Linked DNA regions of Notamacropus eugenii. The protein of the gene in region 3 interacts with the protein of the main gene of each other region in a pairwise test. Links are inferred from orthologs where the notes say so. Each region holds a gene or a part of one and is shown on either strand. Other genes may lie near its edges.

The links.
Region 1: the proteins of RALBP1 (region 3) and AMOTL2 interact in binary tests that used the Homo sapiens proteins (3 or more experiments, as listed by UniProt). The two-hybrid records come from large-scale screens. The link is inferred for Notamacropus eugenii from reciprocal best matches to the Homo sapiens genes RALBP1 and AMOTL2.
Region 2: the proteins of RALBP1 (region 3) and CEP57 interact in binary tests that used the Homo sapiens proteins (3 or more experiments, as listed by UniProt). The two-hybrid records come from large-scale screens. The link is inferred for Notamacropus eugenii from reciprocal best matches to the Homo sapiens genes RALBP1 and CEP57.
Region 4: the proteins of RALBP1 (region 3) and GPS2 interact in binary tests that used the Homo sapiens proteins (3 or more experiments, as listed by UniProt). The two-hybrid records come from large-scale screens. The link is inferred for Notamacropus eugenii from reciprocal best matches to the Homo sapiens genes RALBP1 and GPS2.

The regions. Positions count from the first base shown.
Region 1 is NC_092876.1:334,135,039-334,142,588, forward strand, and holds the start of AMOTL2 (angiomotin-like protein 2), read left to right. Parts: upstream 1-4,541; 5' UTR 4,542-4,925; intron 4,926-7,550. UniProt on the Homo sapiens protein: Regulates the translocation of phosphorylated SRC to peripheral cell-matrix adhesion sites. Required for proper architecture of actin filaments.
Region 2 is NC_092876.1:162,363,491-162,370,573, forward strand, and holds the start of CEP57 (centrosomal protein of 57 kDa), read right to left. Parts: upstream 3,020-7,083; 5' UTR 2,767-3,019; coding exon 2,734-2,766; intron 1-2,733. Other genes in the region: protein FAM76B, read left to right, coding at 4,088-4,174, 4,924-4,988, 5,307-5,361, 6,317-6,472. UniProt on the Homo sapiens protein: Centrosomal protein which may be required for microtubule attachment to centrosomes. May act by forming ring-like structures around microtubules. Mediates nuclear translocation and mitogenic activity of the internalized growth factor FGF2, but that of FGF1.
Region 3 is NC_092875.1:233,698,679-233,706,658, forward strand, and holds the start of RALBP1 (ralA-binding protein 1), read right to left. Parts: upstream 3,010-7,980; 5' UTR 2,903-3,009; intron 1,587-2,902; exon of another isoform or gene 1,450-1,586; intron 641-1,449; exon of another isoform or gene 507-640; intron 1-506. UniProt on the Homo sapiens protein: Multifunctional protein that functions as a downstream effector of RALA and RALB. As a GTPase-activating protein/GAP can inactivate CDC42 and RAC1 by stimulating their GTPase activity.
Region 4 is NC_092873.1:78,711,490-78,718,948, reverse strand, and holds the start of GPS2 (G protein pathway suppressor 2), read right to left. Parts: upstream 3,002-7,459; 5' UTR 2,570-3,001; exon of another isoform or gene 2,411-2,569; intron 2,059-2,410; 5' UTR 1,958-2,058; coding exon 1,864-1,957; intron 1,464-1,863; coding exon 1,354-1,463; intron 1,257-1,353; coding exon 1,117-1,256; intron 923-1,116; coding exon 843-922; intron 735-842; coding exon 652-734; intron 298-651; coding exon 147-297; intron 40-146; coding exon 1-39. Other genes in the region: NEURL4 (neuralized-like protein 4), read right to left, coding at 3,966-4,170, 4,482-4,650, 4,777-4,889, 5,571-5,715, 5,908-6,015, 6,318-6,405, 6,684-6,863, 7,265-7,423. UniProt on the Homo sapiens protein: Key regulator of inflammation, lipid metabolism and mitochondrion homeostasis that acts by inhibiting the activity of the ubiquitin-conjugating enzyme UBE2N/Ubc13, thereby inhibiting 'Lys-63'-linked ubiquitination.

The DNA.
Region 1 (7,550 bases), on a different chromosome or scaffold from region 3:
AGTTCAATCACCAGGGACTGAACCCAGGTCTTCTGACTCTAAAGCAGTAATCATTCCACTAGTTTATCCCCTTAGAAATTTTTGTTTTTTTAAAAAAGGCTTTGCAGTTTTTCCAGTGCCCGTTCTAATTTATCTGCAACATATCTGCTTAACTTAAGTCTAGATGGACACTTTAGATGACAGTCTTTCATATTTTATGGACTTTTTTTGGGTGTTTCCTCAAACACTTCTGAATGACAATACTATAGGCCATGTCTTCCTTTTCCTCAAAAAAATGAATCACTCTAGCTCACACAGATGCATGGGCTGCAACTCACCATTTCCAAGCAAAGCTAGTGTCTAGACAGTTGCCAAAAACATACACATAGTTAACTTGCCTTGCAGCACATGGGCACAGGGCAGACCACATAGTCAGCTATAAACCACACACACAGCATCCATCCATCCATCCATCCATCCATCCATCCATCCATCTATCTATCTATCTATCTACCTACCTACCTACCTACCTACATCTACCTTCTATCTCTCTAGTTCTCTCATCTCTCTCTCTCTTTCTCTCTCTCTCTATTTCTGTCTCTCCCTCTATCTTCAGTTAATATTAACTTGTGAATCAACAACCAGTTGACTTTAGCATAATCTTTTTTTCTGATCAACCTTTCAGTCTACTGACCTATTTTATCATTACGTTTCTCCAGGGATTACTTCTCCAGTACCTCCCAGTCTTTAGTTTTGTTTTAGGGTACCACAAAGCTAGGAGAGTACAGCCTGGATGGTAAATGCCTCCTTTTATGTTTCTTATACTGGAATCTGGCTGTCCAATTTGGGAGCTGCAGAAGACAGCACAAAGACCACCAGTTTTGTTTCTCCTGATAACCAAGACTCCTGGAGACCCTGAAAAAGAGAGCTAAAGATTTCAAAATGGTGGTCTCTGGATTCTCTCCCTGCCAGGCCCACTAATCATCCTCAAGCTAGAAGATGATTTGCTGCCATCAGCCTGCGATTTATTTATTTATTTTTGCTTGCTAGGTAACCATGTCAGTCTACAGCACAGCAGAGAAGAGAAATGCTGAACGTGTACAGGCGTACACAGGCACAGGTGAAAATAAGTACGTGGTTTTACTATTTAGCAGAATGTCACAGGAGGGAAGACCAAATGCCCGGTTTAGCTGAGGAAGAAGAGGCTGAGAAACACACCTACACTTAAGGGCTGTAGGGACAAGGAATCCAAGGACCCTTTTCTCTTGAGTCTGTTGATTTTTAAATTTTTTCTGGTCATTAACATTTTTTTTATCCAGTAAGGATAACTCAGGAAGCAATATGTTCAAGTGGTAACCACAAGAGAGGAAGAAAATTTCTGCCAGGTTCTCTCAAATCTCATTCCTCCCTCCCCACCCCCAATCTCCCCACCCCCAAAGCTGGGCTGACTAGGTATCTGTATGCTCTAGGGCAAGGTTTGGACATTGGGGGTTCCTTTTTGTATTATTCTCCACCAGGGGCTTTCCTATAAATATCACATTTGACTCTTCACAAATTAAAGGCCTACAGAGTATGGGAATGAGTTTTTTACCATTATAAATAGGTGCATCTAAGACAAGGGTGGGGAATCTATAGCCTCGAGGTTACATGTGGCCTTCTAGGTCCTTGGGTATAGCCTTTTGACTGAGTCCAAGTTCTACAGAACAAATTATTTTATTAAAGGAATTTGTTCTGTGAAGTTTGGATTCGGTCAAAGGGCTGCACTTGAGGATCTAGAGGGCCACATGTGTCCTTGAGGCTGTAGCTTCCCCACCCCTGAGACAAGTAGTATGAAATAGCACCAAAAAAAAAAAAAAATTAAAGTGTCCTTTCTTTTGTGCCCTGCTCCCCTTGTTGAGACCTTGGAGTTTGACTAATGTGCCTTCTTCTAGATAAGCTTCATTTTGAACAAAATTCAGTTTTATGTAAAAACACAGATCTAGAGTTGGATGGGACCTTGACTTCTAGTCTGGGAGTAAGGGGTGCCTTATTATATAAATGAGAAAACTGAGGCCCAGGAATATAAGGTGACACCTATGGACACCCACGTAATGAGCACCTGTATGTGGGCCTGCACCAAAGGCAGGAAATCAACTCAGGGGCTCAAAATTCAAAGATTATTCTTTCCTTTAAAAAAAAAATAACTTTACCCTGTTTACTTTTCACAGAATGTGAGAGATAAAATGATCTTAGAGATTATTTGGTTCTTCCCCCTCTTTCTTTTTTTTGGAGATGAAAAGATAGAGGCTCACAGAAGCAGGGACTCATCTTGCATGGCCCTGGCTGCTCCAAAGCATCAGACCCTGAACTCATCCCCACACGGCCAGATTCCAATTCCACCAGACCATCCTCCCTCCTGGAATTGTAGCATCCACTTTCTTTTTTTTCTTTTAAATAGTATTTTATTTTTTCCAATTACATGTAAAGATGTTTTTAACATTCTTATTTTTAATAAAATTTTGAGTTCCAAATTTTCTCTCTTTCCTCCTTAAGACAGTAAGCAATTTGATATGTTATATATGTGCAATCATGTAAAACATGTTTCCTTATTAGCCATGTTGTATTAGAAAAAACAGAACAAAAGGGAAAAACTACAAAAAAATAAAAGGAAAATAGAATGTTTCTACCTGCATTCAGACTCCATCACTTCTTTCCTTGGATGTGGATAGCATTTTCTATCATGAATCTTTCAGAATTGTCTTAGATCGTTGTATTGCTGAAAAGACCTAAGTCTATCAAAGCTAGCACAATGTTGTTTTTACTATATACAATGCTCTCCTGGTTCTGCTCATTTCACTCAGCATACGTTCATATAAATCTTTCCAAGTGTTTCTGAAATTCACCTGCTCATCATTTCTTATAGCTCAATAGTATTCCTTTACTTTCATGTACTACAACTTGTTCAGCCATTTCCTAATTGATGGACATTCCTTCTGTTTCCAACTCTGCCACAAAAAGGGCTGCTCAAAATGTTTTGTGTATGTGGGTCCTTTTTCCTTTTTAATGATCTCTTTAGGTTATGGACATAGGAGTGGTACTGTAGCATTTATTTTCCAAGAAAAATACACACACACACAGACACACACACACAGACACAGACACACAGACACAGACACACACACAGACATACAGACACAGACACAGACACACAGACACACAGACACACACAGACACACACACACAGACACACACACACAGACACACACACAGACACACACACACACACACACACACACACACACACACACACACACACACACACACACACACACACACACTGGGCTTAGTAAATGGCTTCTTGGCCATTAAATATCTCATGGGAAGTCCTGCACTGGCAGAAGCTCTGTAAACTGCAGGTAGGGAAATGCAGCAATTAGGTGACAAATGAATATCATTGGTCTATTTGAGAGAAAAGGCTTTAGATTTGGGTTTGTTTTGCTGCCTCTCTTTAAGGTAAAAAAACAAAAACAAAAACAACCTAAAGAAAATTATCCAAATAGCTGCCCAATTTCCTGTTTGTACCTGCCCCTGTAGCAATAACCAAAACATGATTGGGTCAAACTCAGAAACTGGGGTCACTAAACTGTATATAAGAAACCTGGTGTTAACATTTACTATGTTCAATCATATCTTTATTTGTTTTGTTGAATATTCCCCAATTTCATTTTATTCTGTGAGGGCCTAGAGCATTTGGAAATGGATTAAATTCTTTTGCTGGGGCGTAAGAGATAGAACTCTGGATTTGGAGTCACCAAGATTAAGTTTAACTTCTGCCTTAGACAATTTATTAATAGCTATGTGACCTTGGGCAAGTCACTTAACTCTTTGCCTCAGTTTCTTCATCTGTAAAGTGAGAATAATATTAACATCTATCTGAAAGGGGTTTGAGAATCAAATAGCATGTGTAGAGTTTTTGCAGACTTTACCCATAGAAAAGATCTGCAGCTTGAACCCAAACTTTAAAAAAAAACAGATAACTTTCCTTAGAGTTGAAGTTCTTAACCTTCTTTATTTTGTCATGGACCCCTATGGCAGTCTAGTGCAGCCCTAACGACCCTTTGTCAGAATAAAAGTTTTAAATGCATAAAAGACATAGGATTATACGGGACACAAAAGAAACCTATTATGTTGAAATATAGTTATCAAAATTGAAAAAAAAAGTTCACGGACCCCAAGTTAAGAATTCCTTATTTAGACGGTCTGCACTCATTGGAAATTAAAATTTTAAATACTACCTAGATGTTAGAGTCCAACAAAAATATCCATTGGAGACTCCACTGGCACAAATATTCATTTGGGAATGAATGAGTTAATGCCAGTTAGAAGCCTGAGCCAAGTAGAAAGAAGAACTCAGAAGAAAAGAAGAAGAAAAATTGGGGGAAGAATCGCTCCTTGGGTTATGGAGCCATGTGGTGAAGGGGGCGGGGGAGCCCAGTTAGTAGCCCCTGCAGTGCGCAGCCTCTCACTGCTGCCGCTGGATGGGGCGAGCGCAAGAGGTTATTTGTGGTTAGCTTTGATCCCAAGGGGGAACCTGAAACTCTCACATTCCTGGCATAGCTTGCCGCCTCTTGCACAGTCCAACCTCTGTGGCTCGCGGTACAGCTGGAGGAGCGCAGTCTCGCTTCCAGCAGTCACAGAGGCAGGATCTCCGTGCCCGGGAGCTCAGAGCTGCGTGCGGACTTTTCCTTGCGCTGCTCTGATTTTTCCAATTCTTTTTTTTAACTATTATTATTAAAATTTTGTTTTGGCATTTCGGCAGTAGGGGTAGGAAGGGGCCGCAGATAAGCCAAGACACGCACGCATTCTGCATTTTCTCCCTCCGAAAGAGCTCTGTACGGCTAGCTCCCCGGCAACTTCTGTTGGCTGGGTCTGAGACTCTAGGACTGAGGCTTTCAGGCTATGGGTTGGTAAGTTTCACCAGGGAAATTGACGCGTTCTATTTGCCAGTGTCTCGTAGCGCACAGCCGGGAGACAGGGAGCGAGCTCTCGGGGCCATGCAGAGAGAACCTAGGGGAGGCGGGAGCGGATGATTGGGAGCCGAGAGAGCTCCTCATTCGTCCGCGATCCCGGTGCTTCGACTACACTGGGTTTCCCCTTTGCACGACTCTTGGCGGCTTTTCTGCGATTTAGATTGGGGAAATCTTCCCGCAAGCTTGATCATTCCAGCCTGAGGGATACTTGGGGGGCAGAGGAAGGATACCTTAGCTCTTGACCCTGGCTCTTGCGATGCCCTTGAAACCTATGGATTTCCAAGTCTTCTGGTATTTGGAAACGGGAGGCGCTAGGGAGGGGAGGGAAAGGCCTGGAAATGATTAAAGAAAGGGGGGGAGCAATCCAAGGATTATTTGGTTAGTCTTGAGTTACAGGTGCTTTTGCCCCCCAACTAGTTAAAGAAATCCTCTTTGTCTTGTTTGGAAAAATGCTTTCCGGAGCCATAAGCCTGGCCCTCACTTAGAAAGAATGTTAATTGCAGTCCAAACCCTGATGATGTCAGGGCAGAAATATTTGGAAAACAAAGAGGGACCAGAGCAGCCAAGGAAATATAAATACTTTTCAGATGGCAATCGGTCGTACACTTTTGAGGTGAATTGGTGTTCAAATTGGTTCTAAAACTAAGGAGTTCGGAGCGTTTTTGACTCAGAAGTTATTTGTATGGGGGGGATCCAGTTACAGTTTTGGAACTCTGTTGCAGAAGTTGGTAGAAAGTGTGGTTTAATTTAGGCACGTAGGAATCTCAGTATTTTGGAGAGAATTTTCCGGCCGTTTTTTCTCCCTCTCCCACCCCCACCCCGCCTTATTTAGTGGAACACTGAGTGTTACAAAAAGCCAGAAAATAAGTACTTTAAGGGGAGATTATTATTTTTGTAATGGTTTATAGCTCCAGGGCCCTCCTTAACCTAAAAGAAGGACTTGTAGTTTATAATGACCTTATGGTTTAGTTATTTGATATTTGAGATTAATGGGTTTTTTTTATCAGGTCCAACATTACAAAAACATTATTAGCTTGTTCACAAGATAGGACAACTTGCATGGTACACCTTTTGAGAGCTCAAGTGATGGTGTGTCTAAGGTAGATTCTGGATTGTCCTAATTATTCTCCACTGACAGTCTTCATTAGTGAGCACGCTATTTATTAGACTGTGATTACTGTAGAAAATGCTCTGGTAATTGTGAAACATAAAAGTGGTTTGACTCCTAAGGATTTTTGTTGGTTCTCGTAAATTGTGGATTTCAGAATCTCTTCAATCCTGCCCTAGGAGTGGTAGGCTGGTATGATGAAAAGACTGGGTGGAAAGTTATACTACTTATGCAATTTCTAACTTAGCCAAAGATCCTTCCAGTGTCATAGTTGGGTTGTGGGGTTTAGCATGAAATGAGAGGGAAGGGAGGGAGGATGGTAGTTTCTCACTCTGGAGCAGCTAGGTAACACAGTGGATAGAGGTTGGAGTCAGGAAAACCTGAACTCAAATCCTGCCTCATTCATACATTTACTAATTTACTAGCAGTGTGACCCTGAGCTAGGCACTCAACATCTGTCTACCTCAGTATCCTCATCTGTAAATGGGGATAATAATAACACCTAACCTCCCAGGATTTCTGTGAAGATGAGAAAGTGCTTTGCAAGCCTTCAGGCTCTCTATAAATGCTAGCTACTCATATTATTATATTATTATCACTATCACACTAAACTGGTGATTTCTAGATATCTCATTGGCTTAGAGAGTCAGAAACATCCACAAATTCACCCACCTCTCTCAGATGGTCACTTCATTATGACTTGGGAAATAATGGCTACTATTCAGAGTCATTATCATAGAGTTCTCTTTTAAAAATGAGTTTAATGTACAAATGGATTTGGGTTTTGATGGTTATAGAGTTAGGGAATATTGTGATGATGCAGCTGCCTTAGGAGTCGCTAGCTTCCTAGAGTCCAGATATTGGAAAACTCTTCGTCCCTAGAACACCTTAATCGATCATTGAGCCCCTGCTAGACTCAGTTCTGTGCCTTTTTGAAACCATGGCATTTCCTTACCCATAGTACTGCCTCTGTAGGGAATGTGCTATTACTGTTAATTATGACTACAACTATTATGAATTACTATCAACAGACTGAGGAGGAGAGCCAGTTAGACTCTGTCCAAATAACGTATAAAAAATATCTAGGGAAATTACCTCTTTGTCATCTTGTATTTGTCTGATATATTAAGATACTGTAAGCTGGGCCAGGTAAAAGGGGGATAGTTTGCTGCTTACAGGGACCATGTGATTTAACTAGTGCTTGTTGGCAGGACTTTCTTGTTCCCAGTGGCTTGTTAAATAAAGCCTCTGTTCACAATACCATAATTCATATCCAGTCCTTTCCTCTTTCATTATCTGGCACTCCATAGTCATTTCCTCCTTCCTTATTTCTAATATTCACTGTCTCAGAATGATCCCCAAGGTCATCCTATGACATTGGTTCAAATATATCAGCTTAGCTTGTACCAGTTCTTTTTTTGGGGTAACTAATACCTAGACAGACCTCCCCATGT
Region 2 (7,083 bases), on a different chromosome or scaffold from region 3:
CTTAACAGGAGGACAAGAAAGACACAAGGTGAGAAGGCCCGAGTGGCCACAATCTGCACTTCTGAAGGTAATATAAACATTAGTGAGCTCAAAGACCCACTACATTATTTTCTACAAAATCCTGTAGCATTGGGTACATAGTAGGAACTCAGTTATTCATTTACTTCTTCAACAAATGTTTAATCACAGAGCTCTGTCCTGGGCCCTCTTATGTTCTCCATGTTATTTTATTGGTTTTCTCTTTAGCTCCCACAAATTTAATTATCACCTCTATGGTGATGTTCTTGTATCTACTTCTTCAGCCCTAACCTCTCTACTGGTTTCCAGCCTCACACCTCCAACATCTCAGAACTATATTCCCATAAACATGAAAATGCAATAGGTCTAAATATGAACTCATTATCTTTCCCCCTAAATCTTTTCCTCTTCCTAATAGTTATCATTCTTGACTTCTCACTCTCTCTCATTCTCCATAGCCAATCTGTTGCAAAGACCTGTTGATTTTACCTCTCTCATTTATTTTTTGTTTATTTATTGTTTCTTTCTCTTCTCTGATAATGGCACCACTCTGGTGCAGGCCCTCATCACTAAGGCTTATTTGTTATATGGGCTGCTGGTTGGTTTTTCCCCTTAAAACAAACAGATGAAGTGAGATGAAACTGAGTTCATTCTGTACTCAATTGCCAAAGTGATCTTCTGTGTTCCAGTGATACTGGCTTCTCTGCTATTTCTCACACAAGACACAAAATCTTCTGATTCCAAGCATTTTCACTTAGTGTTCCCAATGCCCAGAATTCTCTTAAGTTTCAGCCAAAAATCTCACCTTCTACAGGAAGTCTTTCCCAATCCCCCTTAATTCTAGTGCCTTCCCTCTTTGATTATCTCCAATTTATCCTGCATATTTGCATGCTGTCTCTCTCATCAAATTACAAGCTCCTTGAGAGTTGGGAATGTATTTTGCTTTTGGTGGCACAGTAGATAAGAGTACTGAGCCTGGAATGAGGAAACTGAATCAAATCTGGCCTCTGACACTACCTGTGTGACCCCTGGAAAGTTACTTAACCTGTTTGCCTTAAGTTTATCTGTAAAATGGGAATAATAGCACCTGGGCAAATGAGATAATTGTAAAATGCTTAGTCACAGCATCTGGCATATGGTAAGTGTTATATAAATGTTGTTATTATTATCCCCAACACTTAGCACAATGGCTGGAACACAGCAGATGCTAAATAAATTGTTTACTGACTGTATAAAACATGATGGGAGATAAAAAGCATACTAGACATGGTCCCCTTACTTCCACAACTCTGCAATTTGGTAGGGGAGGTAAAACATAGCTACATATGCCAGTCATATAGCTATAGAAGGATGGAGGCTAATCAGGAAAGGCTTTATTAAAGTGGAAATTTCAACTGGGACTAGAAGAAGAATTAGGATTTTAGTGGAAAAAAGAGGAAGGGCATGAGCAAAAGTGGGAAGCCACAGGAGTTTATTGAGGAGATAGATGTGATCAGACTTGCATTTTAGGAAAAAGACTTTGGTGATTAAAAGGAGAATGGAATGAAGTGGGGAGAGACTTGCGGCAGGCAGATCCACCAGCAGCTATTACAACAATCCAGCAATGAGGAGGTAAGGGCCAGCACCAGAGCAGCGGTAGTGTCAGAGGAGAGAAGTGGGCATATTTGAGAGAATCTGAAAAGGTCAAATGACAATGGTTTCCAACCTTCGTTAGAAGATCTCTAGTGAGAGTACCCAAGTAGCCCACTCCATTTTTGGATGTTAACTGTAAATGTTTTTTCTTAAATTAAACCTAATCTGGCCTATTTACCCACTGTTTTTTGTCAAGCTGAATGACCCTTCTTATGACAACTATCTATATATCTCACAGGATCACAGAACAGGGGCTTCAGAGGCCAAGACCTCCATTTGACAGATGAGGAAACAGACCCCGAGACTTTTAGCCATTTGCCCAGTGTCACACAAACAGCGAATAAATGGCAGAGCCAGGATTCCACCTCGGCTCCTCTAATTCCAAATCCTCTTTCCACTGCACTACCCAACCTAATTCTTCTCTTTTCCATTCAACTACGGTCCTTCTAAGTACTGTGCAAAACTGAACCCACATATGATCTGACCATTTTAACGACCCTCATTACGTATGCTATTAACGAGACTATTAGGTTCCTTAATTTTCTTACTCACTATGACACACTTCACTCAACTTGAGTTCGGAGTCCACTAAAAGCCCCAAATCTTTCCAGACACGCCTCCCCCTTCCTGCATGTGGAAACATATTTTTAAAAGTCCGAGCGTAAGATTCTACACTCGTCCCTACGGAGCATCTGCTCAGTTACATTCTGCCACCCGGAGCAGCATTCGGGCCGGCCCGGGCTGGGGAAGCCAGGCGGACCCGGGGGCGCGCTCACGGTAGCACGCAGCAGCCCCGGCGGTCCCCACGGGGCCCAGCGCTCAGCGTGAACAGCTGGGCCGAGGGAAGGACCCGGCCGGCCCAGGGGGCAGAGATCACTTCACCTCCGGGGGCCAGGTCAACCCAGGGAGCCTAGAAGCGAGAGATGCTACGGAAGGGTCGGGGAGAGGGAAGGAAAGAGCTGGGGAAACTCGGGGAGCGGAGGAGGCCCCCCAGGGACCCGACAGGACCCAGGCAGGAGGCGTCGGGGCCACAATGGGCCCAGGGGCGTCCCTGGCCCCGTTCGAACGCAAACAGTTCCTTACCGCGCATCCAGAATAGCCAGCCGACGCCGCCATCTTCCCGCCTGCCAGCAGGCTCCTCCTACGGGGAAGGCTGCCCGAGTTCACCAGCCCCGCCCCAAGGCTCGTGCCCCGCCCCCACGGGGAGATCCGCCCCCCAGCAATCAGAGCCCGGGCCACCACCGAGCCAGCGGCGGGCTGAGGGGGAAGGGGTAGGGGTACAGAGATGAGTTAGGCAGGCGGAGATTTACCCCACCCTCCCCCCTCGCGCGCGCGCGCGCCTTACGCACATCGAAAGGACAACAAACCTGGATAGGCGTCACAAATAACCAATCAAAGAAGAGGACACCGTCCGGGAGCGGTGGGGGGAAGAACCCGCCCTTTCCCCAAGATGACGCCACAAGGTGTCGGATTGAGAGCGAAGAGGGCCAATAACAAAACAGGATAATTCCAAAGGCGACGCAAGGAAGGGGCAGGGCTGGGTTACGGGGGCCATGGGGCCAAAGGAAACTTCTCCGGGTATTGTTTTGGTTCGGTGTCTTAAAATGGCCATCCAAAATCGATAAGCCGAGCTGACGTAAAAGGCCTCGGATGTACAAAACATTCCTATTGCTCAAATTCGAAGATGAGTCTGACCGTGGTTTGGGGGTAGGTTTTACCGGGCGGTGCTTACCGAAGTACGACCAATGATGAGACAGTATAGAAGGCGCTCAAAGTACTCGGTCCAATCGAAGTCAAGAAAGAAGAGTCAGAAGAGCAGGAGGGAAAAGTCTTTGGTGGGCATTTGCCCAATTGGAGCGCAGAGTCCTCCCCCCGAACACCGGATTGGCCACTAGCAAGCACAACGACGCAGGCCTCTAGGCCGGGGAAAGGTTTTGAAGCAAGTTTCGCGCGCGGACGGCAACGAGCTGCTATTGGTTGGTGACCTTCTTCCTTTGTAGGGGCTCTCGGCGTATCGGGGTGAGGGTAGGGGAGTGGCGCCTGAGTGACGTAAAGGCTGCGACAGCCAATCCGAAAGAGTACAGAGAGAAGGAGAAGGAAGCGGATCTGTCGCCTCGCAGCTAATCTAATCCTCGACTCTCCGTTTAGTCTCCCTCCGCCACCGCGGTCTGGGCCTAAGAGGGAGCGGCCGGGAACCGTTGCGGGGTCGGGAGGGCTGGTGGCGAAGCAAGGCGGAGGGAGACGGCTGTGGCGTTGGTATTTACTCCGCGGCGCTGGCAGTGCTGTAGCTGGGTCCTAGCGCGGAGTCGTTGTGGCCACGGGGCGGGGGTTGAGGGGGGAAGCATCGGGAGGAGCGCGCGGCCGGGCCCGGGTGCCTAGGCTGCCCCGGAGGGCCCCGCGTTGCAGCAGGCGGCAGAGGAAGAGGAGAAGGAGGAGGATGGCGGCCTCGGCCTTGTACGCCTGCACAAAGTGTACCCAACGCTATCCCTTCGAGGAGCTCTCCCAGGGGCAGCAGCTCTGCAAGGTCCGTGTGCGCCGGGCGGGGTCTGGTCGGACGTGGCCCTGGGAGGGGGCTGGGTGTCCCGCGCTCCGCCTCCTTACCCCAGTCGCCGGCGCCTCGGGGGTTGGAGGAGTCCGGGACTTTTCTGTCTGCGCGAGGCGGGGCGTGAAGGGAGCCCCCCACCCACCCACCCCCGCCAGGTGGCCTGGGCTCAGGGCGGAGATCTCGGGGTGGGGCCGACCCCCGAGGCTGCCAGCCACCTGTCTCACGCAGGAGGTATTTTTGTCGCTGTCTCTGCCCTTTCAGCTCTCCCCTTCCGGGATGTAGAGATCACTTTTAAATCTCTCTCTCGAGGGCACTGAATGGTGACCTCTCCGTCACAGAAAAGCAGAGCGACTTGCTGGCCATGGCACAGAGTATTGGTCTCATTCGGATCTTCTCAGATCCGATGAGAAGCAAGTGTGAGCATTTGTAAGCAGCGTCGCAGAACAGTAAAAAGCATTTTCACATAGACTCCACCAGATTACCATCGTATTTAACCCTACCAGCGACGTAGAGAAATTTAATAAACACAAAGAGACCTATCTTTCCCATAAGGAATTACAGCATATTTTAATTGAACAATTACGTGTTAAGACGTAGTCCAACTCTACCTGCAGAGCCATTATACTCTTGTTTTGAAATTATTTATAGAGGTTTGCTCTTCTTCCCCCCTTGGAGAGGAGACTTGAAACTGTATGCTAAGCGCTGATTGCTGTATTAATTTCTTACAGGAATGTCGGATTGCGCATCCTATTGTAAAATGTACTTATTGCAGATCAGAATTTCAACAGGAAAGGTTTGTATATAAATAATTAAAACCTTTAAAGATCGTAAAATTTTTCTCCAAGATGCACTTTTACTAGCAATAATCCCAATTTTGTGATTATTTCTTACAAAATACTGATCTCAAATTAGTTTGGAATATTTGCTGATAGGACCAAGAGTTAATGTTGAAAAACAATATTTACTGTTTTAAAAAGCATCTGAAGAAGTACATATAGTTTGAGATATTCCTTACGTGTTGTAATCAGCTGTGTATGTTCATCTGTGCAGTGTATCAGTGACTTAAAAACCGTATTTAAAGTTAATTATGGCATGTGAATTTTTCTTTCAGCAAAACTAACACAATTTGCAAGAAGTGTGCGCAAAATGTGAAGCAGTTTGGGACAGTAAGTCTGTGCCTTACTTACATTTTCACTTTGTCACTGAACATTACCTATCAAATGATGTTTTTTATTAAAGACAAAAGCATCTGGATAGAAAGTACATGTTAATTTTGGGTGCATAAATAGTTTTAACATACATACTTGAAATCATTACTTGATAAATTTAATTAAATATTAAAGCAACAGATTGAGAAAATCAAACCCTCTCCAATGAAACTAACAGTTTTTTTGCCCATTTTAAATCTAGAGTTTGTGAAGCCATACTTCCTGTGGGAAAAGCATTTAAACAAATATAGTACTCTTATTTATACAGAACTTAGTTGTTCAGAATGTTGGGATCTTCCTGTCTTTCCTTCCTTTCAAATTACAGCATTTCATGAGAGAAGGCAAATATCAATTAGTACAAATTCTTATATACATATACTTAGCATATACGTATACTAAGTACATACATATACTTAGATCCACAATAGTATATAGTTCAGCATAGTGTGTTGATGTTCATTGTCTGGACCTTAGTTTCTACAAAATTCTGAAATGTTTTCTTGTCAAAGAAAGATGAGATATTTGATGTGGTTTGTGTGCAGTGTACAAATTTTTTCAAAACTGACTGGGTATATAATAAGTTTTGAATTAAGATGACTCCTCATTTAGTGTGTCTAAGAAGTTTGAGAGTGTGCATTTATTTTTTTTACATATTGTTTAGTGTTTTTTAAAAAACACAACTGTTACTACTAGATTCATATATTTCAGTTTTCCCAAAGTGCAACAGTGAGATCATAAGTCCAAAAAGAAAACAAAATGTCCATGAGTTGTGGTTAAATTGGAACAGTTCACTTTTGAACACTACTCCCAAATGTAATAAAGTATTTGATTTTTCTTTTACACTGCAGTATTAGAAGGATTTCCAGCATTAAAATGCCTAAATTAAAGAAAGTTGTGTCTCTGTTAATTTCAGCCCAAACCTTGTCAATACTGCAATATTATTGCAGCATTTATTGGCACAAAGTGTCAGCGTTGCACAAATTCGGAAAAGAAATATGGACCACCTCAAACCTGTGAACAGTGCAAACAACAGTGTGCTTTTGATCGGAAAGAGGAAGGAAGAAGAAAGGTAATTGTTGTTGTTCATAATACTGTGACATCCAGAAATACAATCATATCACTGATTTGAACTCAAGATAGAATTGATATTATTTGCATATTTCTGGGTGACTGGTTCCATTTGTATCTACATGAGGCATTGTCAAGACAGCATTAAACCCAGGAGTCGAGTGTTTAGTGACTTCTGTAGTTAACAATATTTTTGAGTCATTTCTTAATTTAAATGTTTATAGATCCAAAGTTTTTACTTAGTGCAACAACATTTAGTCTTAAGTCAATTTTGGATTTTACACAGATTGGTGTAATACCTCTTTTCATTCCTTCAGTCAAAATTGAGAGTTTTGCTTTTGTGAAAAATATGTATTAATTTATTAGCCAGTGTACAATATGCACTGAAGTGTCAGTAATGGCTTAGTAGGTACCTTCTGCTGAGATTTCTAGAAATGGAACAGAAATTTAAACTTATAGGAACAGGAGGAGGATTAATTTGCCCTTAATGGATTATATATTCATGAGTTCTCATTTCAGATTAATTCCACAAACATCAGGAGCTGATTATGGCACAAAAATCTCACCAAAAACTAAATTAAAATGCAATGCTGAAATCTATGTGAAGTTGAG
Region 3 (7,980 bases):
CTGGGCAAATCACTTTACCCCAATTGTCCAATTGCCCCCAAAAAAGAGTGTTTTAGCATAAAAGAATCTGAAAAGTGAGTTCAAAAAAGCCTTAATCCTGAAAAGAGGAGGTCAAGTTAACTAGTATTTGTTAAACACCTACTATGTACCGAGTACAGTGCTAAAAGTCAGGGATACAAAAAAAGAAAAGAAAAACAATCCTTTCCCTCAAGGAGGTCACAGTCTAACACGGGGAACAACATTGTAACAAATATGAACAAACAACATAGGATACATTGGAGATAATCTTAGAGGGTAGGGAAGCTTTACTGAAGGATCAGGAAAAGCTAGCAAGTAAGATTTCAGCTGAGACAGGAAGGAAGTCAGGTAAGCCAGGGAGGCAGCAGGTGAGGAGAAAGAGTATTCCAGTGGGAAGAAAAAACCAGTGAAAAACAATTGGGGGAAAAATGCTGAATGCGGATTCTGAGAACTTGGACTCAAACCCTGCCACTTATTTAACCACTCACCTGTAAAGTGCAGGGAGTTTTGACAGGTTGGTGACAGGCTGGTGAAGCGTGTGGAGCTTAAAAAACGTTTTAAAAAAACTAAATAAAATTATAAATTTCAGCTAGAGACTAGTGAAAATAAAAAACGTAATGTTTTTCCATCCAAGTTCATGAACTCTATGCTCTGGGTACAATGAGCCTTACCTTAGGAACCCCCTGTACTAGATAACAGCATTTCCTAGCCATCCTTCAAGTTTGCAACTCGCTTTACAGGTATCTCACAATCCTAGGGGATAGTGTTTTATTATCCCCATTTTACAGGTGAGAAAACCGAGGCTCGGAAAGGTGAAGTGACTAGCACACAAATAACAAGGGTCCAAAGCAGGATCTGCCTTCCAAAGCCCATCCCAGCTCTAAATCTAGGATTCTACCATCTCTCCACCTTTTGAAGCCTAAATCCAGGGGCCACCGCAGCGTCTAACGGCACACCCTGACATCCTAACGGGCTTCCATCCCGGCAGGCGAAGACCCCCAACGCCTTCTCCGGGTCCCGAGGTTTCCTTTGGCTCTAGGTTAAAGGCTGACTTGGGGGGCCCCTTTGGAGGTCTCTTAGCACTGAAGGTGAGAAGAACGAGCCTGACCTCCTGACCTCCCAGACACCCCGGCACAAACGCGGCCGGACGAGTCCAGGCAAGGAGAGGCATCCCGGGGTAAACTGGGGGCGGGGGTGAGGGCCTGACACCCCGCTTTTCTCAAAACCACGCCCCCAACCCCCGAAGTCAAAGGTGAGGGGGGCGGCACCTGACAAGCACTGGGGAGACGGAAGTATCAGACCCTCACGTGGTGCGGGGACCGGGAAGAGAAGGGGCGCAGCGCCCGGTGGAAAGGGAGGGGGAGCCCCCCCGCCCCCTCCCCACAGAGTGCGAGAGGGTCAAGGGCTGCGACTCCCGGGCACGCGACTGACCTGCCCCAGCCGCGGTGCGACCGACCTCTTCCTCGCCGCCGCCGCCGCCTCGCGCTCGCGCTCACGCCGTGGCCTCCGCCCCCTCGGCCGCGCCACGGGCAAGCCCCAGGCACCCCATCGCCACCCCACCCAAGCTTTTCTACGCCGCCGCCTGTTTACAATGACTGGGACGGAACGGGGCCAACCGGGCAACGCGCAAGCGCATCCCCTCCTCCCGCCGCTGCCGGCTTCCCCGGTTGCCTCTACTCCCTTTGGACGACGGCGGAGGCCGTCAAAGACACGACGCTCTGTGCCCTCTCGCGGAGGACGTCGGGAGCTGTAGTCTCGGAGAGATCGAAGGGCTCGGCTTGGTGGAGGAGTCCCCTTCGGCGGTGAACTACAACTCCCGGAAGGCGTCCCGCCGTGGCAGAGCGCGCACATCTCGTGCGTCTGCGCACTGATCGCCGGGGGAGGAGCCGCAGGGAGGGATGGTTGGACGTGTAAGTTGGGATGAAGTGTTTTTGGAGAAGCGCTGCAGCTTGTGCGAAAGCGCCCCACCTGGAAGCCTTCCCAGAGTCCCGAAGGGGCCATCCGCCCCTACCTGTGCTCCGCTGGCCAGACCCTCCCTTTGCCCCTGCGGGCTTCATTCTTCCCGGCCGCCAGCTCCCGAAAAACTAGTTAAACCAGTTTCAAAGCGCAGCCCAAGTTCCTGGCCGGGGATGGGACGCCTTCCTGGCATCTGGGAGGGTGGGGATCGCAAAGGGTTTACGGGGGGTGGTACCAAGAGCTGGAGCTGGCACCAGGGCGGGCGCTACCTAGTACGCACCTCTGCAACAAAGCGAGCAGAGGAATTATGCTGAGTTAGTGATGGGGCGGGGGAGGGGAGACACTAGGGGAGGAAGGAGGGAAGGGAGATTGGGTCCTAGGGGTACCATCCGATCTGCGTGACCTGCTTTCCTCCACCAACTTAACCTGGCACAGTGATAAGAGGGCAAACCCTGAATTCAGACCAGGGAGACCCGGTGACCCGCATGCACACCTGGATTAACGAATCATAAGAAATAATAAGCGAAATTGTCTACAAAACCTGCAAGATGATAACCACTGGAGAACCAAGAAACTCCATAAAACGCTAAATCTCTCCCATCCTCAAAAGCCCCCCCCCCCCCCCCACTCATTGTAGTGTTGATGCATCCATCAATGACAAAGAGATGAGAATCACCTGCTTCCCTAGGTTCAACCATCACCTGGGTAAATAACTCCCTGGATTTCCCCAATTAATTTAAATTCCTCTAAAACTGGATTCGAATTTTTCCCCCGCAAACTCCTCTGGACATTTGTTAAAAATTTATATGCATATAGCACTTAAGAGTGAAAACACATTACCATCGAGTCTGAGATAGATGATACGATTATTATCATTCCCCATTTTAGAGATTAAGAAATTGAGAATCAGAGAAGTTATATGACTTACCCAAGGTCCAACGCTAGAAAGTACTCGATCGGGGATTCAAAACCTGGTGTCTTGACTTAAAGTCCATTAGGAACTTTATATCATCACACCAGGCTGCCCTTCATTCTCCCCACCCACACTGAACTTGGAAATCTTTTCTAACTCCTCCCTCCTCCCCACCCCCTGCAATCCAAACAGTTGCTGCCTCATTAAACTAGAAAAATGTCAGAGCTAGAAAGGACTGATTCTGCCCTTCTAATTTCTCTTTTATGTGTTCCCATACTTGGCTTTCTCATTGCCCTATGTGGTATCCTCCAATCTGTCTTTAACTCAATGAGTTTTGTTTAGTAGTACTTGTTGAATAAAGTGAATGAAGTATGCCAAATAGCATATTATTAATCTCTAGTCTTTATATTGTTTTTAAAAAATAAAATGCATAGATAATTCTTCTCCCACATGCACCTCAATGATTTGGTGAATTATGTATGAAACCAGTTATTTTAAAATTAAGGTAGGCACCACCTTATTTCCTCTAGGCACAGATGTGATCATCATAGATTTAGAGATGGAAAAGATTCTAGAAGCAATTTTGTTAGACATTTTACAAATGAGGAAGCCCAGAGATGTTAAAGAGCTTCCTCTAGATTTCACAGAAAGTAAGTGATAGCTAGAATTTAATCTCAGGTTTCCTTGACTTCAGCACTCTTTCCATTGCATTACACCCATTCCCTTAGTTGATGCTTTCTACAGAAATAATGGTTTAGTCACAGAGTCAAAGACCCAGAGGGTTTCTATCTCATTCCAGGTGATGGTACCAGGTCAATTACAACTTTGTGATGTATTGTGTCTGTTGTCTTTGGCAACATGTAAATAATGTAGAAAGCAATTCTTTATGATAAAGGAATTAAATTTATTGAATTTTATTTTTGAAAGTTGAACCTGAATCTGCAGAATATAAAGAGATTGAGAAAAGAATATAATTCAGGTTTTTTTAAGCAAAGATCTATGGATATTAGAAATCATCTAGTTCAATCATCCTTCTTTAAAATAAAGGAAACAGTGCTCAAAAAGGTTAAGTGACTTGCTCACCAAAGTCAGACTAGTGACAGCCAAGATTCAAGTCAGTTCAAGAAAACATTTAGTAAGCACCAAGGCTCTATGCTAGTAAGAAAAAAAGGATGAAAAACAATACTCCTCAAACTTAGGAAACTTAAAATCTAATAGGAGAGGAAGGATTTTGGACATGTATACAAATAAATATGATACAAGTATAAGATGGATAGTCATATGACAGCAAGAATCAACCAACAGACCTTTATTAATACCTACTATGTGTCAAGCACTGTGCTAGGCACTAGGGATACAAAATAAAAAAGTGATCTCAGTCTCTGTCCTCATTCTTTTGGGGGACTACCACAAATTCACAAATAAATAAATATAGAATTTATGCAAAATAAATGCAGAATGATTGGGTGGCTGACATTAACAACCTGAGGGAACCAGGAGATGCCTGTTGTAAAAGAAGTGGCATTTGACCTAAACCTTTATATTAGTGCATCCAAGAGATAGAAGTAAGGAGGGAGAACATTCCAGAAATAGGGAACAGCCTTTATAAAGGTATGGAGGCAAGAGATGGAGTGTCTTATGCTGAGGATAGCAAGTAGCTGAGCCAAAGTGCCTGAACAAGAGTAATGTTTGATCAGTCTAAGAAGAAATGCTAGAACTAGACTTCTAATGACTTTAAATAGCAAACAAAGGAGGCAGTAGGGAGTCACTGAAGCTTTTTGAGCAGAGTGACATGGTCGAGGACAATTACTTTGACAGCTGTGTGGGAGGCAGATTGAAAATGGATGAAGAAAGATCAATTAGGAGCCAGGGATAAGGTGCAGATCTAAGCATTGATGAGATTTTGCAACTGATAGAATATGGAGGATTTGGGAGAGTGAAAAATTGATGACTCCTGGAATGTGAGACCGGATGATTGGAAGAATTTTCTTTAACAAAAATAAGGTAGTTAAGAGGAAGAGTGGTTTTAGAGGTAAAAGAATGAATTCTGTGTTAGATATGTTGAATTTGAAATGTCTGCAGGACATTCAGGTAGAAATGTTCATCTAGCAACTGAAAATTAAGGAGAAAGATCAAGGCTAGATCTGTAGATTTGGGAGCCATCTGTATTTAGATGATAGTTGACTCCAAGGGAATTAACTGGAACCCCAAGACACTGAGTGTAGAAAGAGAAGAGGGGAGTACTCATGACCAAGCATGACCACCCACATATAAGGAACTGGATATGGATAATGATTCTGCAAAGGGGACTGAGATGTCCAGCAAGTAGGGAAAAAATCAGAATAGAGAAATGTCACAAAAACCCAGCAAGGAGAGATTATGGAGAAGGAGATGGTCAACAGTGTCAAATTATTAGAAGAGGTCAATGCAGGGGAAATGTCATCATTTACTATTTTGTAATACTTCCCATTACTATTTTAGCAACTGTGACAGAACTACATTTCCCTTCTTTCCTCCCATCTGCAACATGGGGAGGTTTTACCTAAAAGAAACAAAGTTTCCCTTTCTACATAATTTAACTATATGATTAGCCCTGACTTCTCTGATACAGCTTCCTGTCATCTAAGGGGAATATAACATGTCCTGGAATCCAGGTCCCTCAGATTTGATGGATTTTCTCCCTCATATGGTATCTATGTCCCTTATACTTGATATTTTTATAAAACTCAGTCCAATAAGGTTTACCTGCCCTGCTGATGTGACCTATCCATTTAGAGCCAAGGGGGAGAAAGAGGACTGTACTTAAAGAAATTAAGTGCCACTGTAGCCTTTTATTAAGGCTTTTATTAAGTAAATCTTTTCTTAAGTAAATCTCCAGTGACTTCTATGAATGCCTCATTTTGACCCAGCATGCATCAGAGAGTGGTAGCATCAGAGTCCAGCCTTGGACATCAGCCATATAGGAAAGTGTCTCCTAGAGGATTATTGAAGCTGTGAAACAATTTGCAAGGCCTAAGCCCTCACTTCTGGGGGCCTAATTATGGATAAATGAAAACAACTTCTGTATTTTTATCCCCAGCCTCAGGAAAACTAAGCAGGCATTCAGCTATGCTGTTGAATGAAGCTGGAGAAAATCACAAACCTGTGCTAACTGGAATTACTACAAATTTATGTTGCATAACCTCAATTTCACCCTCACTACCACAAGGAAATCCTTTTACCCTTCTCTGGTTGGCTCACTATCCCACTCACCACAGCAGCTCTACCAAATATTTTTATCCTTCATCAAGCCTCCCATAGTTCCACTTTCACCCACTCTCTGAGCTAAGAACTTTAAAAAAAAATTCATATTTTATTTTATAAATATTTCATATTTTCAATATTGTTATATTTTACTGAAAAAATTTAGACCATTTTTTGAGAGTTCACTATTATCCCCTCCTAATGATCTGTCATCACCCAGATGCCTTCACCTCTGTCTCACTTGAAGAGGTGGTCCTTTTCATGCCAAGACAAACCCTTCTACAATTGACTCCATTCCATTCCATCCTATCTTCTCTATCAGATTTTCCCCTCTCAACTCCATTCTCATTCATCTTGAATCCCTTCCTGTTTTCTGGCTATTTCCCTATTGTCTACAAACATACCCATTTTTCCCTATCTTCAGAAAAATCTTACTTGATCCATCTTTCTTTCCCTACTAGCTATCCTCCCATATCTTTCCTCCCTTTTGTGGCTAAACTTGAGAAGACTAGCTAGAATATTTTCTTTCTTCTCACTCTCTTCTTGACTCTTCCATCTGGCTTCTGACTTCATCATTCTAACAGAACTACTCCCTCCAAAGTTACCAATGATTTTTGATCACCAAATCAAATGTCCTTTTCTCAACTCTCATCCTTCTTGACCTCTCTGCAGCCTTTGACATTGTTGGTCACCCTCTTCTTGATATTCTCTTCTCTCTAGGTTTTTAGAACATTATTCTCTCCTGCCTCATCTGAAGGCTCCTTCAACCTTCACCAAAGCACTCTCACCAAAAGTAGGTGTCCCCCAGGGCTCTGTTCTGGGCCTTCTCTTCTTTATCTATGCTACTTCACTCGATGATCTTATCAGTTCCTACGAATTCAATTATCATCTTTATGCTGATTGTCCTCAAATCTACTTATTAGCCCTGATCTCTCTCCTAGCTTCCAGTTGTGTATGTCCAATGGTCAATTTGAGTTCTCGAATTGTATTAGTCCTACAGGCATATTAAACTCAATATGGCCCAAATTGGACTCATTATCTCTCCCCACCACCCAAAAAACCCCTTTCTTCCTAACTTCCCTATTACTGTTTGGGGTATCACCATTTTTCTAGTCACCCATGCTCAAAACCTGTGTATCATCTTTGACTTTCTCATCCTTCATATCCACAGCTGTTGTCAAGTCCTGTTGTTTCTACCTTAGTAATATCTCTTATACGCACCTCATTCTGTCCTCTAACAACGCCAGCACTTATCATCTGATAAGACCCTTATCATCTTAAGCCTGGACTATTGCAATAGCCTATTGGTTGGACTAACTGCCTCAATTCTCTCCTCATCTTTGACTTAACTGTCAAATTGGTCTTCCTAAAGTGACCATGTTACACACACACACACACACACACACACACACACACACACACACACACACACACTTAGTAAACTACTGTGGCTACTTATCAACTTAAGGATCAAGCATAAAATCTTGTTTGTCATTCAAAGGCTTTCATAACTTACACTTTAAGCCCCTCCAGTACTCCATGATCCAGTGAAACTGACCTCCTTACTATTTGTCAAACAAGATACTTGATCTCCACACTCCTAGCATTGTCACTGACTGTCCCCTATGTCTAGAATTGCCCTCTTCTTCAACCCTGTCCCCAGCCTCCTTGACTTCTTTCAAGTCTCAACTAAAACTCAACTATGAAAAGCCTTTCCTTAATTCTAGTGCTTTATCTCTCTTGATTATCTCCAGTTTATCCTTTATATAGCCTATTTTTACATAGTTGCTTGTTATCTGACCATTTTAAGCATAGGGGGTGCTTAAAAAATGTTTCTTGACTGTCTAACA
Region 4 (7,459 bases), on a different chromosome or scaffold from region 3:
GTTGGGACAGGTACTGAACAGCAGGAAAAGCTGAAGGGGCTGAGGGGAGGAAGTCAGACATGGATAAAGACCATCCACAAGCCAAATTCTCCAAAATCTTCACTGCCTGTCCCACCCCACCCCTGTTTCTAGGTGTTTGCCCTCACCTCTGAGCTGTTGGCTGGGACTATAGCCTGGCTGAGTAGGTCCATAGTGAGGTGGTGGCTGGGCTGCCCCATAGGCCCCTCCTGGGCTACCCTGGAATTGCCCATGTTCTGAGGTTCCTGGAAAAGCTGTTGACCCCACAAAATGACGGGTCTGGAGAAGATGTGGAGAGTTAAGATTGGAAAGTGTTCAAATATTAGGTACAAGCTTACAACACACTGTCAGGATAAGTTGTCTGATTTGATAGCTGGAAATCATATATAGAAGTTGCAAAGCAATTTACATACATAATGTGTTTTAAAAATGAGACAAGTTCAGAGAAGCTAAGTGACTTTCAAGGGTCACGCAGGAAGTGTAAGATGTGTTCATCACCTTATCTACCTCTAAAATCACATAACTCCATAATACAATTTATAATTAGGGGAGATTACATTGACATTTTTACCTTCATCACAGCACATTAAATGCCACTGGTAATTAAAATGCCAGGGATCCCTGTCTGCTTACCGTGAGCACTTGGGGTCCAAACATCTGCTTGGCTCTATCAGCAGACATAAGGGTTCCTGGTCTGCTGTGTCCTCCAGGACTGCCTGTGATGAGGTGTAGGGTTCAGATGGCTGCAGGCTCTAAGGAGGTCTCAAACCACCTCCATGATCCTTGCCCCACCTATACCCACCCTTTCCCCTTGTCCACCTCACCCTGCATACTAAGAAGATGTGTCCCTGTGTGTACAGCCAGACTTTGTTGGTATGCTGCAGATGTAAGTGTTGTCAAGTCACTGAAGGGCAAATAAGATCAAAGATGACAAAGCTGTAGGCAACCTTGTAAGTTTTACAGATGAAGAAAAAGTTCCAAAGATATTAAATTTAAAAAATTAGAATGAGATTCCCTAAGATTTATATAGGTGGCATAGGATATGAACCTGGGTTCATTCTCTTCCTGATACCACATTCCCATTTCACAAAGCCATACCTTAGTCTAGGCCCTCCATGTCCCCACCTTTGCTCCTTACGACGCCTTTTCTCCTCCTCATGTAAAACTTTCTTGAGCTGCAGGAAGAGCTGGTGCTTCTCCTCTTGTAGGGCCAGGAGCTTCTCTTGCAGTTTAAGGATCTAGGAGGATCATGGAGACAGTGAAAAGGAGGTCGGCCAGAGCAGAAAGGGGAGCAGGGTGAGTAAAGAGATTAGTGTGTGTGTAAAAATTGCTTACCTGTTCTTTGGTCTCTTCCAGTGACATCCTTTCTTCCATTTCCTTTTTCTTCCTCCTCTCCTGTTCCTCCTTCATTTTCTGTTCCATCATCTTGTCTACCTCCTCTTCCTCTGGGGGAGGGGCATGGGGTTAAAACCTTAAAGCTAGAAGGGAATCTCAGACATCAACCCCTCATATTTAACACAGAAAACAGGCCTACGCAGGGAAAGTGACGCCTCAATTCAAGACCCCACAACTATGAGAACTGACAGTAGTTTTTCAAATCTGGCCTCGGGCACGTCTGAGCTGTGTGACCCTGGATAAGTCACTTAACCTGTTTGCCTGAGTTTTCCGTAACTGTGAAATGGAAACAACTGCACCTTTCTCGCAAGGCAGCTTTACAGGAGCTAGACGGACGCTTGCTCCTCCCCTCCCTCTGGAGTTCAGACCTCTAACATGCAAGGCCTCGTCCGGGATTGCCACGTGCTGCTGCTCCCTCGGAGCTCTGGGCTGGCTAGCACCCTCACTCACCCTGTCTCTTCCTCTCCCGCTCCATCATTATGTGTCGATGCAGTGCCCTAGCCATGGCATTGGAGAGCTTGGGGCGTTCCAGAAGGGCCGGCATGGTGACCCGCAGGGTGCTGTCACACAAACTGGGGTACGGATCCTGAGACTTGATCACTGACAGTCCAGTCCCAGAAATGAATCTGGTCACCCAGCGGAAATCTGGTTGGTTGGGGGATAAGCATGATCACAGAGGGGAAGCGGGGATCCTACCAGCGAAAGGGGAACCTGAGAGCCCTCCCCACCACCCCGAAGGCTCCACCGCGACCCGGCAGCCAGGCAAGGCTGGGGGGGTGGGGGTAGAAGGAGGCTGAGCTCCCCGTGCTTGGGACGGAGGGCAGACCCCCACCCCGCCCTGGCCCCGGACTCCGTCCGCTGGGCTCCGAGGGCGGGCGGGGCTGGAGGGCGGGGCCGGAGACAGCATCAGGACTCCGGAGGCGACACCGCTGGGGCGTATGGGGCAGGTCACGTGCTTCTCCCGTCAGGCGCCCCGCCACCCCCTCGAGCCCATCACCTGCTCCAGCCAGCGGGGTTGGGGTCGAGTGCCACACTGGGTTCCCCACCCTCCCCACTTGTCCAGCAGCTACCAGCGGTGACCCCGCTCTGCGCAGGCGCGACCAGGGTCCGAAAGTCTCGGACTAAACCTCCAGGCCCCCAGCCCCTCCCTACCTACCTCCTCTTCCTTCTCACTTCAGCCCTCCTACAGGCCTCACGGACTTCGTCATTTCCTGACTCGTGAGTAAGTACTTCCGGGGCCACCGATGAGCGATGGCGAAGCTTAGCACACTGCCTGAGTGGGGGAGGGGACGGAAGGGCGGAAGAGGCTGGGGAAAAGGGAAGCTACGGCGGCTGCGCGGGCTGCTCCGGGCTCGCCTGGCCGGCGCCCAGACAAACCGTGGAGGCGTGGAGTAAACGTAGCGGGCGCTGGAGTGGGATGTTTTGGGGGGTGCGCCGATCTTCTACCGTGTGACCCTCCCGCGTCTCCTCCCAGCGCTGGGAGGGCTCCTTCCCCCTGAAAGCCTAACCCCAAGGCCAGGCCCGGCTGCTGCTGGAAGGCGGGGGCCGGGGCCGAGACCCAGACGAGCCGTTCCGTGTTTTACAGGTGACGGGGCTTGCGCACCGGGATCCCTCAGCGTCCTTTAATGCTCACTAACGCCGCCCGGGCTTTCCCAGGCCGTGCCCTGGGAGGCCACGGGACGCACGCTCGGGGAAACGCTGAACTGCAGAGAGTGATCCAAGTGAGCGGCAATGCCGACCCTGAGGCACAAGGGCAGCGGAAGGTTCTGTGGCAGCCTCGGGACCGAGGCAGACGGCACGGGCGTTGGGGCCCATCAGTTCTCTCCTCCTAAGACTCTCCAGGACGTACACAGCATTGAGAGAGAAGACGCGGAGGACAGCGCCCCTTCCTGACCCCCGGCATCTGCTCACGGAGCTTCACTACAGCCTCGTGAAGCACATGGCCTTATCCCCACTTTGCAGTCAGGAAGTGACTTGCCCAGGCTCAGGCGGGACGCTCCTTGGAACTCTCCTGGACTAGGATTTCCCTAGATAAGTGCAAGTGGAGACTGGGACAAAGTTGTATCTGAGACAGGACGTTTATTTCAGTTCTTTAAGAAATCAGAGTATGTAACAGCTGTACAAGGGGTGGCCCCTTCTCCCCCGGCTATTCCTTCCCAATGGAAAAAGTTTCAACGGAGAGGGGAGGGAGGCAACTCCCTCTGGGGATTCACATTAACCAGAAACAACGCAAATAAATTAAGTGATGGGAGTTTCCCCAAATCAGTGCATGAGGAGAGGGGAGGGAAGTAGTGGGGTCAAGACAGAGAAGTGTTCTGGACCATTACAATTTCCCCAAATCTGTGGGCAATCCCCAACCCAGGAGAGCTACTACCCCCCCAAACTGGGAACTCCTCCAAACAAAAATGCAACGCCCCCTGGAAATCTGGGAAACTCCCATCATGTCCACTCTCTTCCCTGGGAACAGTTGGGGGAATGTATAAAAAGTTGGTGCTTCCAAAGTCCATAAACCTTCCCTGTCATTGTGCTTGGCAATATAGGCCCACATCCTCTCACTCCACTCGTACCAGCAAGGCATAGAGTAATGTGGCACCCTTTTCCTTGGTCACCCACTCAAGCTCAGCAGGGCTAAAGTGGGGGTCAGGAGGGCCCCCAAGAGCTGTAGAGGGTGGGCCAGGTGTGTAGGATCCAGGACGTACACACACCTGGAATGCCACCTGGGCCTGGTATGGCCTTTGAGATTTGGGATCCCGGAATCTAAAGACAAGAAAGAAGGAAGGGCCTGTTGGGACAGTATGAGAAAAAAAAAAAACATAGGAAGCAAAGGGTAGAAATGTGCAAATACATAGTGGAAAAATTGCGGAATAGAGGGAAAGAAGGAAGGGCATGGGGAAACCAACAGGCAAGGGAAAAGTGAGAAGAGGGAGATTGGAACCAAAATCTAATGGAAACAAGACATTAAAAAAAAGCAGGCTTAGGGACCCCACTCTAGGTTTCAGCAATGTCCCCCACTCCTTAGTTACCCCGACTTCAGTTCCCACCCCCACCCCCCAGTCTCCTTCACTCACTGCACTTTGGAAGCAAGGGCATCAATCCCAGCAGCATGCCGAAGGGAGGGGGAAAGCAGCACAGGAGGGGGCTGCTCCTCACGAGGAGGGACACAGTTTTCACCAGATTCTCCATACCCACACCCTGGCTCTGCCTTTAAAGGCCTACAGCTGAGGATTGAAGCACTGCCTGAAAGGAAAGGGTAATGGTTAGGGGTCTCTCCACCCTCTATACCTCCTCCTTATGGAAGAAGACCTGATTTCCCCCAATCATTCCCCTCAGCATCATCATACAACTTTGTTTATCCTTTCTTACCTGCCCCCAGCTCTCCTCGGTCTAGCACCCTCCGAACGGCCCCAACACTACTCCCATGATAGGCCATATGCCACTTCTTGGATAGTGCTGCTGTCTCCAATCGTGGATTCACTCTGCAGGAAAGAAATGTGTATGTCTGTGCTGACCTTGATCACCCCTCAAAGCCCGTTCTTTTCAAAGAGGAAAAGTTGGACTTGTTCTGTCCAACTGTCTTGCTGAAAACTGCCTGGTAAGAAACAGGATCCTAGGAGTATAGATCTATAGAGAATTCAAAGCCAGGTCTTCCACCTCCCAGGCCAGGTCACTTCTAATTGTTATCATACGCTAAAAAACAATTTCTGAACCTACACATCAAATAAAATAGGTATCTGCACATATATAATAGAACAAAAAGAGAATTGTACAAGAAGCTGCACATTTCTAATAATAGCTGCACGTAAGTACAGCTTGTTTTTTCTTTTAGATGTTCAACTTGTAGCTTTGTCCTGCGCTTCCCTATGCCGACCTTTTGTTTTTTAAAAAGAAAAAATTTCTCCATTGACCCTTTTTTTTTCCAATGGTGTGGGAAAGAATGGTATTAGGAAGGCAAAGGGGGACTAGGGAGAGGGCCGCAAAAAAAAAAAGCACACCTCGTAAATTTATGCCACTTCCTTGAATAGGAAATTGTATATCCTATTGAAGTGACATTTTCTAGACCTAAAAATGAAGGATAAAAGAAAACTCTTTCTGCCCTCCCTGGGCATCGAGTCCTAGGCTGCCCCAGGCTTCCACCCCTCCCACCTTAAGCCACATGCCTGAGGTTAAAGCGGCACCAGCCAAAGGGCAAGGCATACTCTTGTGGCGGCTCCCCCCGACGACGATGTGCCTCATCGCCCCGAAGTTTCCGACAGGACTCACAGTAGCACAGGCTTCGCTTGGGGGGTGGGACAAAGTAATCCTCTGGCAAAGAAGAGAAAGGTTGAATTCAGGGGCTATATTTCCTAAAGAATCCTTATTTCTATATCTCATCTGTGTCAGCCTTCAGAAATGAGCTCATTCCCTCCTCCCCCTCTCCCCAAACTATTTGGGGGTTTGAGGAAAGCAACTCTAGTGTCCCAAGAAAAGAGAGTTGATAAAATGATCAAGTCTCACCTGGCAGTAGCAGCAACTCCTGGAACCGAGAGCAGAGGGCATGGTATTCACAACTCTTTAAAGGACTGGCATCTGGAGGTGGGGCCCAACATACACTCTCTTTGATGCCTGAAAGGTAGGGCCAAATCAGAGTAGGGAAGGTGTGGGGAGAGAAGAAAACAGTAAAATGGGGACTGGGGGGAAGATGGGAGCAGGGCATATTTTGGGGACATCTGCCTCATTCAACTTCTTAAGTGACTGCGTTTGGGAGGTGGGGGGAAGGGAGGAGTCAGGAAGAAATGATTCTCTGGGGAAGAAGCAAAGAGTTTCATATTAAGGCAACGACAGGTGTCCAAAAACAGAAGTAGAATTAAGAGTAACAAAGTACTCTCCAGCAGGATTGTATAGTACAGGCTCTCCCTGAGCCTCACCATCTACCACATCAGCCTTCTCCATGTCCCCCTGGATTCCAGCTCCCTCCCCATTGGCTGCTCCTGTCTCAAGGCTCATAATTGTCACCTGGAGAAGAAGAAGGGTTGGTTAACCTTTGGTCTGCTGCTCTCCCCTACCACAAAGGATTTTCTCAATCCCACTGTACATCCCTTCCCCTCCCATCCAACCCTTCAGCCTCAATTCCTTTTCCCTTTAAACTCCCCAGTTTGTCCCATCGACCCCATAAAAACTTCACTACACCCCCAATTCTAACTTTTTAAATCACCACCACCACCATGCTCCTCTAACTTCCTAGATTCCTCCCCCCTTCCAGCACTGTTCCTGACCAACCACCCCCTGCTGACCTGCTCACACTGGCCATAGAGGTCCACTAGGGCATGGCAAGGCTGGGGCACCTCAGCCACAGCCACACCCTGGTCCACACCATTGACATAGAGGTGCAGCCCCCCAGACCCGTCCAACCTCAGCCCCAGCACCGTGCCTTCTGGGCACGTGTCCAGGTTTGGCCCATACTTCTCGCAGATCTGGGGGACAGAAGCATGAGAAATGAGCCACTTCTCAAAAACCCCCACCCCTCCAATATCAATACCCAGTCTCCAATATTCTCATCTGGTCACCCCACAAACATACACTTCTTTATACACTTTTACCCTTTTATTCCCAGGCTTCCCTTCTTACAATCCCCTCCCCCAACAATTGTTCTTACCTTTTCCCCACTCAGGGCCCATTCTCTGGGTCTATCTATTACCTCTTCTTTAGGTTCACATTACCTTTGTATTTTACCCCATTTGTTCCAATGACTCCCCAAATTCCTATACCATTCCATTTTTCAGGGCCTTTTCCTTTCCTGATATCCCAATTATCTCCAATCACTGGATCTGCCTTGCCTACAGGACTGTTCCCCTTCTTTACATGTCCTGCCCACCTTGAGGCCATTATGGAAGACACCCTGGCCCCGAAGTAGCCAGGCGGCCCGTTTGAGGGCACAAGCTGAAGCTGGGAAGTTGAGCCGCTCAGGGGGGCAGGCAATGACTCCAAGGGCCAGGGATGAAGTCCACTGCCGGTTCAGGAAGTCCAGCCGCACCTGGGGGAAGCGGGAGATTACCTCCTAGCAGCCACT